2 linked regions of the Struthio camelus genome follow. The protein of the gene in region 1 purifies or fractionates together with the protein of each later gene. This does not show direct contact. Links are inferred from orthologs where the notes say so. Each region holds a gene or a part of one and is shown in the gene's direction. Other genes may lie near its edges. The genes, in order: SCFD2 and STX18.

The links.
Region 2: the proteins of SCFD2 (region 1) and STX18 purify together in Homo sapiens (co-immunoprecipitation; 3 studies listed by BioGRID and IntAct, counting the BioPlex papers as one, with this or other methods). This does not show direct contact. The link is inferred for Struthio camelus from reciprocal best matches to the Homo sapiens genes SCFD2 and STX18.

Annotation. Positions count from the first base shown.
Region 1 is NC_090945.1:57,348,309-57,355,432, forward strand, and holds the start of SCFD2 (sec1 family domain-containing protein 2), read left to right. Parts: upstream 1-3,998; coding exon 3,999-4,764; intron 4,765-7,124. UniProt on the Homo sapiens protein: May be involved in protein transport.
Region 2 is NC_090945.1:72,822,367-72,830,178, reverse strand, and holds the start of STX18 (syntaxin-18), read left to right. Parts: upstream 1-4,625; 5' UTR 4,626-4,674; coding exon 4,675-4,839; intron 4,840-7,812. UniProt on the Homo sapiens protein: Syntaxin that may be involved in targeting and fusion of Golgi-derived retrograde transport vesicles with the ER.

The DNA of each region.
Region 1 (7,124 bases):
CCATCGGCCCCTCGGCGGAGCTGGCCGGCGGCGGGCGCTTGCCGCGAGGGCTGCGGGGGCCCGGCGCCGGCAGCAGGGCTGGACCCAACCCGCGCGCAGCCGGGGCAGCTGCCCGGGGACGAGCGACGGCGCGGCACGGGCGTGCGGCGCTGCCGCCTCTCCTGGCTGCCAGCTCTGGGGCCCCTGCGGCTGGAGGTAACGTTGCGGGGTTTAACAACGCCTTACACGCTTTTCCTCCGCTAATCATCCGATTTATTTGGGTTTTTTTCCCAAGCTCCGGTAAGAATTCGCACATTCGCAGTGTGCCGCGACGAAAAAGTTACAGTGGACTTAGGCGTTCCACCGAGAAATTGCTCCATCTTAAAAGCAGCGGGAAGTAGCAAGCCATTTCTAGTGATGGATTGTTCTCTTTTCATCTGTGAATGTTGCATCAACAACTGTTAAGATTCATTATGAAATATTAAGTACCAAAAACTCTAAAAAACAGGTTTTGGCCAGTTGTAGGTACAAATGGAGTCTTCACTGTCTTAGGATGCTTGTGAAAACTGAGAAAGTACCCCTGCCTCACAGGAGGCCCACCTGAGAAAAATCGGATTAGAGCGCTTGACTGTATTATACCACAACACTGGGGGCAGGGGAGCTTTTTCTTCAAACTGTCTGCGTGGTAGACCTTGTTTTAAAGTTTTACCTGTGGCGTAACATTTCACTGAAGTTCACGTGAATAAACCTTACCTTCTCAGAAGGGATTTTTTCTCCTGAAGTAAATTTTAAATATTTCAACGCCATGTACAGATCATGAAAGATATGCTACAATTGAGTAGGATTTTTATCACACAATTCCCTTTTTTTTGTTTATACATGAGTGGAGTCAACAAAGGTGTTTTTGCTCTAAAACATTTGTAGGCATTTGTTTGTCATAAAGCAAATTTATACAATCATACCTCTTGCAGGGCATCAATATTTTTATTTATTTCCATTCTCGTTTTTTTTTAATTTTTTTTATTTATTTCCATTCTCGTTTTTACTTGACCATTTCACAGTCTTCTGACCTTAGGCTACATTAGAGGAAGCAGAACTGTCTATATTTTGTTATTTTTGATTGCGCAGACACAAGGAAGAAGAAAGAAAGTAGTTTTGTGGAAAACACCACAAATACTGAGAGAAATCAGGAGTAGGTGCAGAACACAGTCTCTTTTCAAGTGTGTCGTACAGATTGACAAGGTGTTTTTGCTGATAGAATACCTTTAAATGGTCATCACATCAAACCGCTGGCCACGTAACGAAGTTCATCTGAAAAAAATCTCCCAAGCAGCTTGAATCTAGTGGAAGCCCACACAAAACAAGGCTAAGGCCCGATGACAGCTGCCATTCCCCCCAACACTACTTTGGCCCACGTTGGGCAGAAGAGATGCTCTGACCCCATTTTCCCCTTTGCTTCCAGAAACAGAATCTTGGGCTAGATGGTCTTTTAACTTCTACCCTAAAACGTCAGGAAATCCCATCAGCCCCATCATTTCCATATATGCCTCTGGAAAGGACTTTGCAGTTTCTTCCTGCTGTTACGCAGGAGTTATGTTGGAGTCTGAAATACAGGCTTCTCTGAAGGTCCCAAGTAACTAACAGCTTTGGCTGAGGAAAGAAGAAGGGTCTTTTGTAAGCTGCATGTAAATCTTGACTCATGGGTTACCCTACAGAAACACAAAACAGGATTTCAAGTGTACAGGAAATCTTTAATACTGTTTTTTGCACAAAAGCTTAAGATTTGTACATAGGATAAAATAAGCTATAAAACCAACTAATATAAGTTTACTTTGTAATTTAACAGTGGTTAAATGCTTTACACTGATTGACCTAATTTTGTCTTCGGGCTAGTAGTCTTTCTTTTTTTTTTCCAAAACTGGCATATGCAGAAATAGTTGCAATCTATACTGTATTTATTAAGTAAAAAAGCTATTTATTTCCTTGAAAGAGCATCTGCTGCTTTGACTGTATAGCTGAAAACAATTAAATTAAAACTTTTTAAAACAAGACAATATCTCTCCAAAGTTGGACAAGCCATAACATATCTAGCTTCTGTCTGCCACACTCAGAAATAAAGCAAAACCTCAGAGATATTTAGAGATAATTCTACTTGTGTATAAGCCCAGGGGCTCAGCGGTTAACAGTCACCAGTCCTTTCTCGGCATTCATTTTTCAAATCAAAATAGTCCGGAAAGCTATGATCTTACTTTTTTTTAGCATAATCAAGTTTTATACCCTAAGGTTAAAATAACAGATCGGGGTTGGAACAGCCCAAAGTAGGGATTTGGAAGAGGCATCAGATGTAGGAATGTGCATGGGTTAGACAGGAACAACGGAATTTAATTTCACTAGTGGAAGCCTAATCCACATTAGTTATGTTTTTCAGCATTCTGAAACCACCTGAACCAGCAAGAAACCTAAGAAGACCAGCTGAGATAGCGAATGGAGTAATTAATCAGTTATCTTTTTGTTATGGCTGACAACCCCACTAAACTTCAGAAAAAAATATCCTCCTAACTCTGTGGTTAAGGAGGTTGCCCGAGTGAAATACTATGTGGAGCACTGATCTGCAAGAGCGTGAACTGTCCAGTCTCTGGGGAGAGGAAACTTAACTGCAGATGCACATTATTGCATTTTTCTAGTTAGATTTGAAATTCATTTTGTTATCAACAGCTTCTTAAAGGAGAAATAGATTAAATTAATTTGCCAAATGCTTCCAACTGTATATAATAAAAGCTGAATGTAATAAAAGAGAATATTTCTTGTTGCTAGGTCATGAATCACTGGATTAGTTAATACTAATACAAGAAATACAGAATTCCAGGACAGGGAAGGGTGATGGGAAGTTTCGGATTTCCAGTGCTGTATGTTTAAAAAAAGCACCAAAATGGTGGTTCTCTCACTGTAACAACGATACTGACCCAGCACAATAGTTATCCTGACCTAAATGGCGCACTGAATTGTCCTTTTAACATTTACCAGTAGTAGCAAGGCTGAAGAGGTTTCTAGCCTTATCAGAAAGTATGTTAGGCACAACTAAATTGTCAGTCAGTGCTTAGACATCCTTCCTGGTTCTGGCTAGGACTACAGGCTGCAGTATAGTTCTTAATGTAAACTGTAGACTACAGAAAACCATGATCTCACAAACAGCTTACATTGACAGAATTTGGCACTGCCACCAAAAGAAGGTGGGCAGGGGGCTACCCTCTCACCTCTCAGGGATTTACTGCTTTTGCTATCAGGGTGTTCATGTGGCCAAGTAACAAACCTAGACCTGAGAAGTGGCTGAAGTTAAGTCTTGGGGAAGACTGAAAACACCCCCCCCCCCGAAGAGATAACAAAACCACTGAATGGATTGGTGAATAGTTTTTCGGGAGATGTCCAGGCTAAAGCAGCTCCTCCTCTCCCGTCTGGCCGTGACCGCTCCTTCCTGTTCATGTGCCATTCCCTTGGCTGGGCCTTCACAGTGGTGGCTGTGCAAAAGGACTACACCGGGGCAACGGCTTACTGTAAAATAGCCTGTTTACTGGGAGGGTTTGTTTGTTTGTTTGTTCCTTTGATCTCCACCTCAGGCCGGTCTGTCCCTCCGTCTGTCTGCGCGCTCGTACACACGCTTCTTAACTGCCTAGGAGACGCTTTACATTCTCACAGCCCGAGCCCGGCAGTTTGTTTCCCGCGAGCCGCCCCCCTCGGAGGACAAGGCCGCGCCTCCCTCACCCTCCTCCTCCTCCTCCTCCCTGCCGGCCGCTGCCCGGGGCAGGCGAGCGGGGTGACGACACCGCCGGGGCCGTTACCACAGCAGCGCGCGAGGTGGGAGAGGAGGGGGGCCGCGAGCCCCCGGCTACGGGCGCTGCCCCGCCCCCACCCGCCGCCAGCCAATGCGGGGCCGCCACGTCGTCCGGCGGCGCCGGGCGCTGCGCGGCGGCGGCACGTGTGCAGTGTTGTGGCTGTCAGCGCTGCCCGCCCGCCGCCCCGCCATGGCGGGTCCCGCCGCCGCCGACGTGCGGGCCGCCTGCCGGCAGGCCTGGGAGCCCGTGCTCGCCCGCGCGCCGCAGGCCGTCGTCTTCCTGGACGCGGCGGCCGCCGAGGCGCTGCACTGGGGCGGCGGCGGCGCGGGCCGGCTGCTGGCGGCGGGGGCGCTGGCCGTGCGGGCGCTGGCGGGGCCGGCGGCGGGGGCGGCCCGCGCCGTGTTCGTGGTGAGCGGGGCGCTGCGGGGCCGGGCGGCGGCCGCCGTGCGCGGCGTGCTGGGCCAGGGCGCCGTGCGGCACTGCGCGCTGGTGGCGGCCGGCGAGGCGGAGGGCGGCGGGCGGGCCGAGCTGGAGGAGACGCTGCGGCGGTGGATGGGCGAGGGCGGCCGCGCCGAGGTGGTGCTGCAGGCCGCGCCGCTGCTGGCGCCCGTCTCGGCCGAGCTGTGCCTGGCGCCCGCCCTGGCGCCGCTCTTCCCGCCGCTGCCCCGCCAGCGGGACCGCGGCGGCGGGCTCAGCCCCCGGCCTGGCCCCGGCCCCGGGGAGCTGGGCCTGGCCGCCCTGCCCGCCGAGCTGCGGGCGGCCGTGCGCGCCCTCGTGGGCGGCCTCGACGCCCTCTTCGCCGCCCTGGGCCTAAGGGAGGAGAGCTTCGCCGTGGGGACCCTCAGCAGGGTCGTGGCCGCCGAGCTGGCGAGCTACGCCCCGGCCAGGAACAGGAGGAAAACAGCCCTCCACAGGGCCTCGGTCGTCTTCGTGGACAGGACGCTGGACCTTGCAGGTAAGAAACCCACCACCGGCGAGGGCTGGCAACCCCCCGGGCCCCGGCTGCTCGGTGGGGAGCTTTTCAGATGGCTGCGGGAGGCCACGAGGCCTGTGGGCAAGTGTAATGCCTTGGCTGCCGTGGTTGCTCTGCAGCACATCGTGGAAACCAAGAGTGAAGTCTCTGCTGGAAATGCACGGGGCAGGTGGGGGAAAGTTATTTCTGCCCTTTCTGCTTTGCAGTGAGCTGGAGACCTTAGTTGTGCCCAAGTGTCAGTTCCAAGGTGTGAAGGAAACGTTCTGCAGGGTTCAGTTCACGCTCTGTGGATTACTGTGAACTATTTCTCTATGTATCATGCTTACCACCCTTTACAGTGTGTGTATGTGAACAGGTGTGCCTCTGTATATGCACTAAATAGACAGCTCTCAGTGTGTATATATGTGTATATGCATATTATACCCTAAAGCATTATAGTTGCCCTTTGAGTGATGCAGTTGCACATGGCTGGTACCTTACTTTAACTCGAGAACAGTATGCATCAGTGAGAACAATACGGAATTGTTTATACAACATCCTTTCTGGGTAGCAAAAGTGTAAGCATGAACCATATGCTAATTTTAATAGTGCCAATTAATAATAATGCAAAAGTTGTGAAATTTAGAGGGTGATTCAATAGTCCACTTAGAAACTAGTAGAAGGAGGATGACTCGAATAGTAATCAACTTGTAAGCTAATCCTGTGATCTGATGTCTTATAAGTTGATAGAATGTGATATCAAAAGGACAGAAAGGGAAAGTGTGATTGAGCAAGGCACCAGCAAGGTGCAGGGTCAGTGACCTGGAAGAAGTTTGTATCAGACTCTCATTTATGGAATAACCATCTTCTGGAGAGAAGAGTGAACTCGGAGAATAATTGATACAGGAGCTGCTGCGTTCACCCTTGCTCCGTCATACTGTTGGTGTTATTACAGAACGTGTAATGCTCCATTTGCATTCTGCATGGTCAGTAATTCAGGTCATGACTTTACCATGTGACCCATTGCAAGTGCACGGCACTATGTCACACCTGCAACACACCAGTTTCTGATAGATGTTTCCCTCCCTGCTTGATTTTGTTCTTGCGTAACTTCACACTGCTGTGAAGCTCCTAGCTGTCAATGATGTGCTGAAAAGCAGCTGTGAAACCGGCTGTTTAATGCTGTGTTATGGTTTGGGAAAGCTACTGAGAAGGTTACAGGAGAGTAGACTCGGGTAAAGAACCTTGTAATGGAATTGTGATGGCAGTGCCTGTTTGGGGTGGCAACTAATGCAACTGAGCAAAGATTCACGTGCTCGGGAGGCAGGAAAGAAAAAAGACAGGAAAATGAACTGCTATTTTGGTGGTAAGGAATTGTATGACAAAGACTGTTGAGGGGAGATGAGGGGATGTAATCGGTACTGGGCTTGAATCTGTGAAATCTCGGATGTTGCCTTTCAGGAAAAGGAGGTTGCTGGGAGAATGAACCAGGACTGTGGTGGGGTAGCTTTGTAGGTGATACATTGAAACTCTTGAAAAACTGAAGTAAGGATGAGAAACAGAAGCATTCATGTTTGCAAATATATTCTCTCCAGTGTCTATAACTGACTTCAAAATCCCTTCATATAACCATTCTTTTGGTGCCAGCAAACGTCTTTAGAACTCCATTGATGGTTTCACTGAAGCCTTCATTTGCTTTGAATTGCTTGGACATGGCAGCAGGCTCATGCCATCAGGAGGAGTCCAAACTCAAGGGACAGAAATCTACTAGGTCTCAAAGATAAAGCCCTATATGGATGTGAACTTGATGCCATGTGATGAAATTTGTTTCACTGTTTTGCTAGAAATCAGGCAGTAAAAAGTGCATAAAAAGCAGCATTTAAGTTATAAAATCAGTCATCAGGAGATGGGAAATGGCAGGATTAAATTGTGTGGGAAACCTTAATCTCCTGGGCACGTGCAGCCTTTGATATAGTCTTTCCCCTACTGCTCTGCCTGGGAGTGAATGAGTGTTGTCTGTAGGATTTCAGCCTTACACACTGTAAAAGCTAAGGCTTCCTGTTTTCAGGTTTGGCACTGGCAACTGGGCCGGTGGATTTCTCAAGCTGTGATACATATTTGTGGTCTGCAGAGTAAAAATAGAGCTGTATTGTTCATGTAACAACCAGTTGCAGGGGAAAGTCTTTGAGGTGGACTTTCTGATTTGGGGCTCCTTTAAAACAACTTCTTAAATTGCCTCCCTCTGAAGATGAAGGATTTTGGATGTGATTTGTTGATATCTTACTGATACCTAAATCTTGCCCAACATGTGGGCTGCGGATATGAGAAATAGTTAGGTATCTATGAGTTATCATAATGCTTTT
Region 2 (7,812 bases), about 15 Mb from region 1:
GGGACAGTGTTTCAATTTACATGATGAATAATTGGTCTCCTGAACATTCTTCCTGCATACAGAAGCCAGCTCTTCAAAGTTTCCATAGTCTAAGTTTAATTGCAGTGAACACACACATGCACGCACATCTCCTTTGATGATGTAGTTTGGATAGGATATACCACATTAGGAGTGACAGAATGATTTCATATATAATGTACATAAGAATTAAATATGCCTCTGAAAAATATGAAAATCAAGTTACCATTTTTTCTTGTATTTATATTGTAAACTTCATATATACTAAAATACTTTAAGGCAAAAAGGCGTTCTAAATGAGGAGTTTCTATTTTTTTTCGCTTTTGGTGTGAATACTAATGGTCTAGTTTCAGAAGGAATAACAGAACCTTGATGTTACTGCCAATTGGACCAGTTTCTAGTAGTGTGTATTTGTTGCCATGGACGATACAACTTGCTTATAAGCATGCTGTTCAGATCCATTCTTTCCACAGCACTTCCTATCACTGCATACAGTGAACGTACTTTTCTTGTACAGTTTGCACTCTTTTGCAAACCTATTTTTAAACACTGGAGAAGATTTCTTTACACATCCACAGATTTGCTGTATTTACTTTGAATTTAAGCCAATCAGCACGCATGCTGTTGGCTCAGAAGTTTAAACAATCATCAAATACAGCTTCTCCTCTTTTGATTTGTCGTGATTAAAAATGTGCACTGTAAGCGAAATTGCCTTCCTTTTGATATTTGGTTCAGTTTGTAACCTTATCATCACATAAAGAAAGTTACTGTTTTTATGCCAGAAAAAATAGAGAACATATAAAATGCACTGGGTATAGTTTTCTGCGGTCAGGGCCAAGTTAGGACCTTAGTAGCTGGACTGCATTGGAAGGAAAGAAGTGCAGGAGCTTTATCCCTTCCATTTACCTCTCATGTAAAAGGAACTTAACTAATCATGAAGTTACCTGTCTCTGAGCAGAGATGAACCCATCAGCCCCTCTTGAATGGACGTATTGATTGATAACTGCAGCAAAGCTTTGATCTCCTTTTGACTGGCAGGTTTGCCCGAAGCATTTTACTGGACATGCCTGTTAAGCAGGTACACCAAGACCTGGTGATCATCATGCAGTCCTCATGCTGCGTACAAGGCCATTATACTTTGCAAACTCCTATCTCTTCCTCTTCCCAGCATGCTTCTGCTGAGGCATGACTGAGTGCCCAGTGCGTGCATTTTTACACATTTACCTGCAGCACTTATGGTGGGACTGTAGACCTTTGTGTGTGTTTTGGAAATTTACTCCAACCTTAAAAATCTTAGATTTCCAGGTTAGCCTTTTTAGCAATTACAGGAAGCACCAGCATGTACTATTGAAACCTATCTGCTCCAAAGTTAGCTTTATACTTTCAAAACAAGGTGGCTGTGGAAGTGCAAGTAACTACTGAGTAGATGCAGTTACTGTATACAGGAAGCTAGGATCAAGTTCAAATAAAAGCTCTGGGCACCAGTTCTTAGCAACTGATTTTAAAGTAGTTTGTAATCTTCAAAGCTATCTATTTATCTCTACAGCAGAGGCCCTGGGTATTATATACCTAATGAGTTAGACCATTTGAGCAACCTTCTTTCAGGTTAAAAAGGTATTTTAACTTTTTCCTTTACCAGATTAGTTGTTCAGTCCATTTCTGACAGATGAGATCAGCTGTAAGGAATGTTAATACTGTGTTTCTTTTCAAAAATGCATTACTATTTATTTCCTTGTGCCTGAGTGAAAGTTTTAAGACTGTATAAGTACGAGAATAGCCTGTATAATATTACTGTTACTGTTTTGGGGTGTTTTTCAGGAACTGCTGGTCACATGCACACTGTTGTTTGTGGACATAAAGCCCAAATAAATAAGTAAAAGTAGAAATAAAGACACAGTCTTGGTCCTGAAGAGTTTACAGCCAACATCTTGATCTGATAAAAGGGTTATGCACTTAACCGTATGTGATATGTGTGGCTCTATTGAACTCAGTGGTATTCATAGTATCACAGAGATTAAGTATGTGTATAAGTCTTTGCAAAGTTGGGAGGGAAATTATACTGTGTTTTTTTAGAATATACTTTGCCTTAATGAACTGCAGTTTCTTTTTTTAATCCAAAATCATATACAATATTTTAATTATTTATAAGTACCTAAATTTCATTAGAAAATGAACAAACTATAAGATGACAGGCACCAGTAAGCTGTTGTTTCTAAAACCAGGAAGGTAAGATGAAGATTCAAGTTTCAAAATGACTTTGATATTCTTACAGTTTAAATGTACAAAAGCAACATTCTAAAATCAAAAAAACAAACATTCTTATCCAATGGGCACTTAAACAAATGGCAATATTTCAAGTCAGTGTAAATGTTAACTTCATTGAACACTGGAACACGGTATACAGCCGAGTATGCACAAAAACACAATTTAATTCTGCCACTTACATTTTCAGGACCATATTACTTTGGGCCAAGCTGTGAAGCTCTTATTACTGTTGGCAAGAAGTTACCTGTGCAAATGTCCGTGAAGTAAGGTGTTTGTGAAGTGAGGCATTAGTACTCTAAGAATGGCAGAATCAAAGCATCTGAAAATTATCCTAACACATAGCAATGGTAAACTTACATGTCAGAATTGTCTTCAGTGAGTTTCAGATTAGGCATGTCTGTGATCAGTGTGAGACACTCCTGGAATTTTAAGTGTGCTTGCTTTGCTTTTGGTAATGCAAAGTAGAAATAAGTAATTTCAGGACATATACCTGAAAGTATCTAATTTAAATGTAAATTCCATGCTTTATTAAATACGTACTTTGCTAAAGCATCTCCATACTGTATTTCTTAATCTTAAAAGAGCAAAGGTGTTTGGCTCTAGTTTTACTCAAATACTATTGGCATTCTTGGAATGAAAAGTCTAGTCTCCTTAGTTGTCCATTTTGTTAATATCTATCTTTAATATGTTTTCACTATAAATCCAGCACCGAGGACAGTGACTTGAAGTGTATATTCTTTTAATTAGAAATACATATCCATACTGCCATAAAAACACAATTTAGATTAGAACAATATTAACAAAGTATGAATAAATACTAATCACAATGTAACTGTGAAGGATTCACTAATCTACAGCTCAGACTGAACTGAAGAGAACTGAACTGAAAGCAGGGTACTAAATAATATTGGAAGAAAGCCTGTTACTATGGAGCAAGTAGGAAAAATAAGCGTAGTTCATTAAGTTCCAGTTTGCTGTGGAAAGGCAAAATTTTGAAGGTCTGTTCTGTGGAGTCTGTGTGAGGAAATGTGCTTCTGGTCAGTTTGAGCTAAGTTAAAAAGTACATAGCATCTGCTGAATCCCGGGGCGCTGTGGCATACATGTAACACCACCAGCGGCTGTGTGGTCAAAAGTTTCCCCCTCTGAGCCACGCGATTTCCTTTCAAGTAGCTTGTCTACCTGTGGACAGAACACGGTAATGAATCTGTCTCAGTAATAATAGTAGCAAAGGTTATTTCACAAAGCTTTCTTCAGAATCAGTTAATGTGAATTGTAATTCACAGTGTGAGATATCTTTTGGGTACCAACATGACATTGTCCCAGTGTCAAGTGGTGTCAGACCTCATGGACCCTGAAGATCAGCTTCCGCCCAGAGAAGAAATCTTTGTTGCACATCCTAGGTGTGTAACAAGGATACTTTATTTATACAGTTTGTGAATGAATAGTCAAAATACATACAGATATGACTACTTCCTCCAGAAATCTCACACCAGTACCAGTCCCAGATCCCAGTGCAAATCTGCTGTTGTGTATTAATCAACTAATTAACCTGTCTTTCCATGCACAAGCTATAAACTTGGAAAACTATGTATGTCTAACAGCTCCACCTGGTGACACCTACCGTGACACCCCAGCTAGGTGGTCTAGGCTGCAACGCTTTGTTGGAATGACTTTTTTTTTTTTCAAACGTGCCATAGCTACTTTAGCCAAATCTCCTTGAAAATGCAGTTGATAAGAAGTATTTCACTTGCTAAACTGGAGTACTGTACGCGCAGAGAACGAAGCGTGTGCTGGTGGGGGTGTGTGCGTGTACTTGGGGGGTTCGGGCAGTGTCCCTGTACTGCCAAAGCTTTCAGGCGTAGACAGGTCTTTAAAGGGAGGTAATTTTGTAACAGCCAGGTGTTTTCCTTTCATTCAAAACCCTGGAAACCCCAGGTAGCTGCTGGGTTAAAAAAAAAAAAAAACCCTGGGAGACCGAATTATGTTCTTAAAGTTATATGTGGTTGCGGCCGAAGGAGCCGGAGAGCAGGGATTCAAAGGCAGGGCCCTGCCAGGCAGCGCAGCTGCCCATCCGCTGCAAGTGCCAAGACAAATGAAATCAGGTTGAACTGCCCCCTTCCCCCCGCTCCGGTGGCGAAACGCAGCTCGTGTTTCGCTCTGCAAACGCTGCCATTCGCTAGGAGGAGGCAGCAGCCAGGCTGCCGCCTCGCCGCTAAGCCCCGGCCCGGCCCGGCCCGGCCCGCCGCCTGCCCACGCGCCGCAGCCGGAAGCGCCGGCGCTCTGCGGCGGGGCGGAACGCGCGCGCCGGTGCCGCGTTGCGCGGGGAAGGCGGCGCGGGGGCACCGGCCGCCGGCTGGCGCGGCGGGGGGGGGCGGGGCGCGGCGCGGCGCCATGGCCGTCGACATCACGCTGCTCTTCAAGGCCAGCGTGAAGACGGTGAAGACCCGCAACAAGGCGCTGGGGGTGGCGGCGGCCGGCGACAGCGCCAGGGATGAGCTGCTCAAGCGCGGCGCGGCCCGCTCCAAGAGCGACTTCTCCAGCCGGGCCCGTGAGGTGGTGAGTGCGGCGGCGCCCTGCGCCTCCCCTCCCCCCCCCCCCGGGGAGGAGGGGGCCCAGGCGTCCGGGGCGGGGGGCATCGGCGGCCCCGCGCGGGCCGCGGCTGGGGGGCGCCTGCCCTGGCCGCGGAGAGGCGGAGGAGCTTGTCGAGGGCGGCGGCGGCGGCTTCCCGCGGGGCGCGCCCGCCTCTCCTGCGCCGTGGGCCGCCGCCGCCGCCGCCTCGGGAGGGGCTGCAGTGTATGTGTGTATATGTGTATGTACATATATGCGTGCTCTCTTCAGGTTTTTCTTCTTGTTGCGCAGTGTGGCTGTGCAGTGCCATTTCTAGATGAGCCATGTGTAAAAAAAAGAGAGAGGGAAAAAAAACCTAATCAGAACATTTTAAGAGTTGAAAAGCTAAGCACTGAGGAATTGAGGGCTTACGGAGCTAAACTGACCAGGAACGATAACATCCGTAATCAGCAGTAGTGCTGTAAAAGCAAATTTCTTGTAGATTGTTTTCCTCCGTACAGAGCAAATGGTAGGGAAAAAGTTTTGATGTCTCAGTGGGATTTGAGTAATGCACCTGGGTTAAGGCACTGGACCAAACTTTGCAATTCAAACTAACAGGAAAAGGCTGTTCAGGGCACTGTCTGAGAAAACTCTTACAGAAAATGACATATAATGGTGTAAAAACCACGTCATGATGCACGTGCAAGTGTAGGACTACACCACGAGTACACAGGCAGTCTTGTTTCTGACGTTTACTGAGTTCTGAATGGTTTAGTTTTCAAGGACAGAGATTAGTGTTAAATTTAGGTCTTACTTAATTATTGTTTTCCAATTTCAGAGATAGTGTTTTATAACTAATGTGTTTTATAACACTTAAAGTTTTATTTTAAGTCGTTCAGTGATTGCTTTGAGGCTTAAGAAGGGTGACAACTTGGGTATATGTTAAATGAACATATAGTTATTAATCCCCTATTAAAAGTTGATTTAAGTGACTTGCTTAATATTGGCTATGAGATCTGTGGTAGGGATCTATCTGTAGGGATAAGACCAGTCTGTAAAACTACGTTCAAGATCTTTGATCATGAGATGTACTTTTTTTTGGGGGGGCATCTGCTGATTTAGCTAAAATTATTTCAAATTCTGCAGCCTTAGAGTGAACAGACTGCTTTAGACTTGCAGTAGAACAGGGCAACCTTTACACGATTTGTGTGTATGTGAATTCCTAGAATTTTTAAAAAGGATTGAAATTTTATCACATGGCATCATATTGACATTTATCTACATCATCAACATGACTGCAACTTTTAGTCTGCTATTCAGAACTCCAGCGCTTGGGCTAATGCTGGCAGCAGGTTGTTATCCTCTAAGGGTTTAGCACTAGACAGTGTCCAGATGTTCTGCCCAAGTGTTTTGCAGTTATTTGCTGAGGCAGAGCAAGGGAGAAATTTGAGAATTGTCGGCTTCCATCCTAGATATTCGTATAGCCACAGCCTTGTATTCGCTTCCTCCAAAGCTTTAACCCTCTGCTCCGTTGCTTCCAGTACTGTCTGTGTCTGCGCTTTGGTTCCTTATCTGCAGTTGCATTCGCTTCAGCCTCTCTCCATATTTCTAGGTTTCTGATCATAGAAGTAGTCTGTATTTCAAATAATTTATAGCCTCAGATTGGATCCGTGCCCGCTTCTTCTTCCTCACCCCTCTCTTCTCTGTCTTCCCTTCCTGCCACCAATGCTCCCTTGAACTTGCTGCCTCCCAGGTTTCGTCGTCTTTCTCAAGTTCTGTTCGTACTCAGGCCCAGCCTCACCTTCATCCTCTCCTCGCTGCCCAGCCATAGTCCTGTGCTGTGATGACGTGCTGTAGGAGTATACTTTTTCTGCTACCTTATTCCTTTTTTGCCCCTATTCACATTTATTATTGCTTGTCTTCTGTTATCTGAGCTCCTTGTCCTTTCTTAGTTTCCTAGGAGCACTGTCCAGGCAATAGAAAGGGCAAAGATATGGCTAAAAGCATCTGTTTAATTACAGCAGCTTGTTAAGGGTGAAGTAAACAGTTAATGCCACAGTGGATGAACTGAGCAGTCTTTTTGAGGGGAAGAGGAGAATGAGTTTAACTGGTGGTAGTCGCATAAACGATGACTTGGAGAAAAAGGTAAGGCCAAAAATGTGTTGCTGAGCACCTTTGAACGTGATTCCTGTTAACTGCTGCTGAGTGAGTACGAGAGAGTGCAATAGATTGGGCCTGGTCTGTCTCTGCTCCTGTAGTTTAGCTGTATTTGTGACAGTGGAGCCAACAACCTACCAGACCGGAGAAGGATTTATGACAGCTTTTTAGGCCTTCTCTAAGATCTAATTCTAATGGGGAAACGCAGCATATAAACTACAGTGAAAGGGGAGGTTTTGTAGTAAAATTGATCATAATTTTGAGTGCTTCCTTCAGCAAAATACAATTTGACTTGAATATGTATTTTTCGAAAGCTTCTTTCAAATACTTTGTTATAGCCTTGCTTGTTATAGCCTAGCAGCAGTTTAGCTGCTTCTGCCAAGATTAAGCAATTTAACTTGCAAGTGTAATCTCTGATATACACATTAATTCTTTAACAGGTTTCTAGTTTTAAAAGCCCCCAAAAATCCAGCGAATCCTTCTCTGCCTACATACAGTTACTTATTTTTTTTTTTTAAATCTGGAGAACATATCAAACTCTTATTTTAACTACTGTTATCTTTAAAACTCGTCCCAAAAAATGACGTTCAGAACCCACACAGAATAACATGGGAGACCCTGAATAATTTATACGTAGTCGGAGCTCTTGTTATGCTGCATTTGGTTGAGTAATAGTTGAAGATCTCCATTTGACAATGAAGTATGGAAATGTTGAAATATTTTATGCAAAGTCTAAGCCCAGACATACTCTTTTTATGTTATGTTCTGGGTAATAGCTCTTGGCAGCGAGACCTGTGCTTGCTTCACTTATGCTGCAAGAACAGC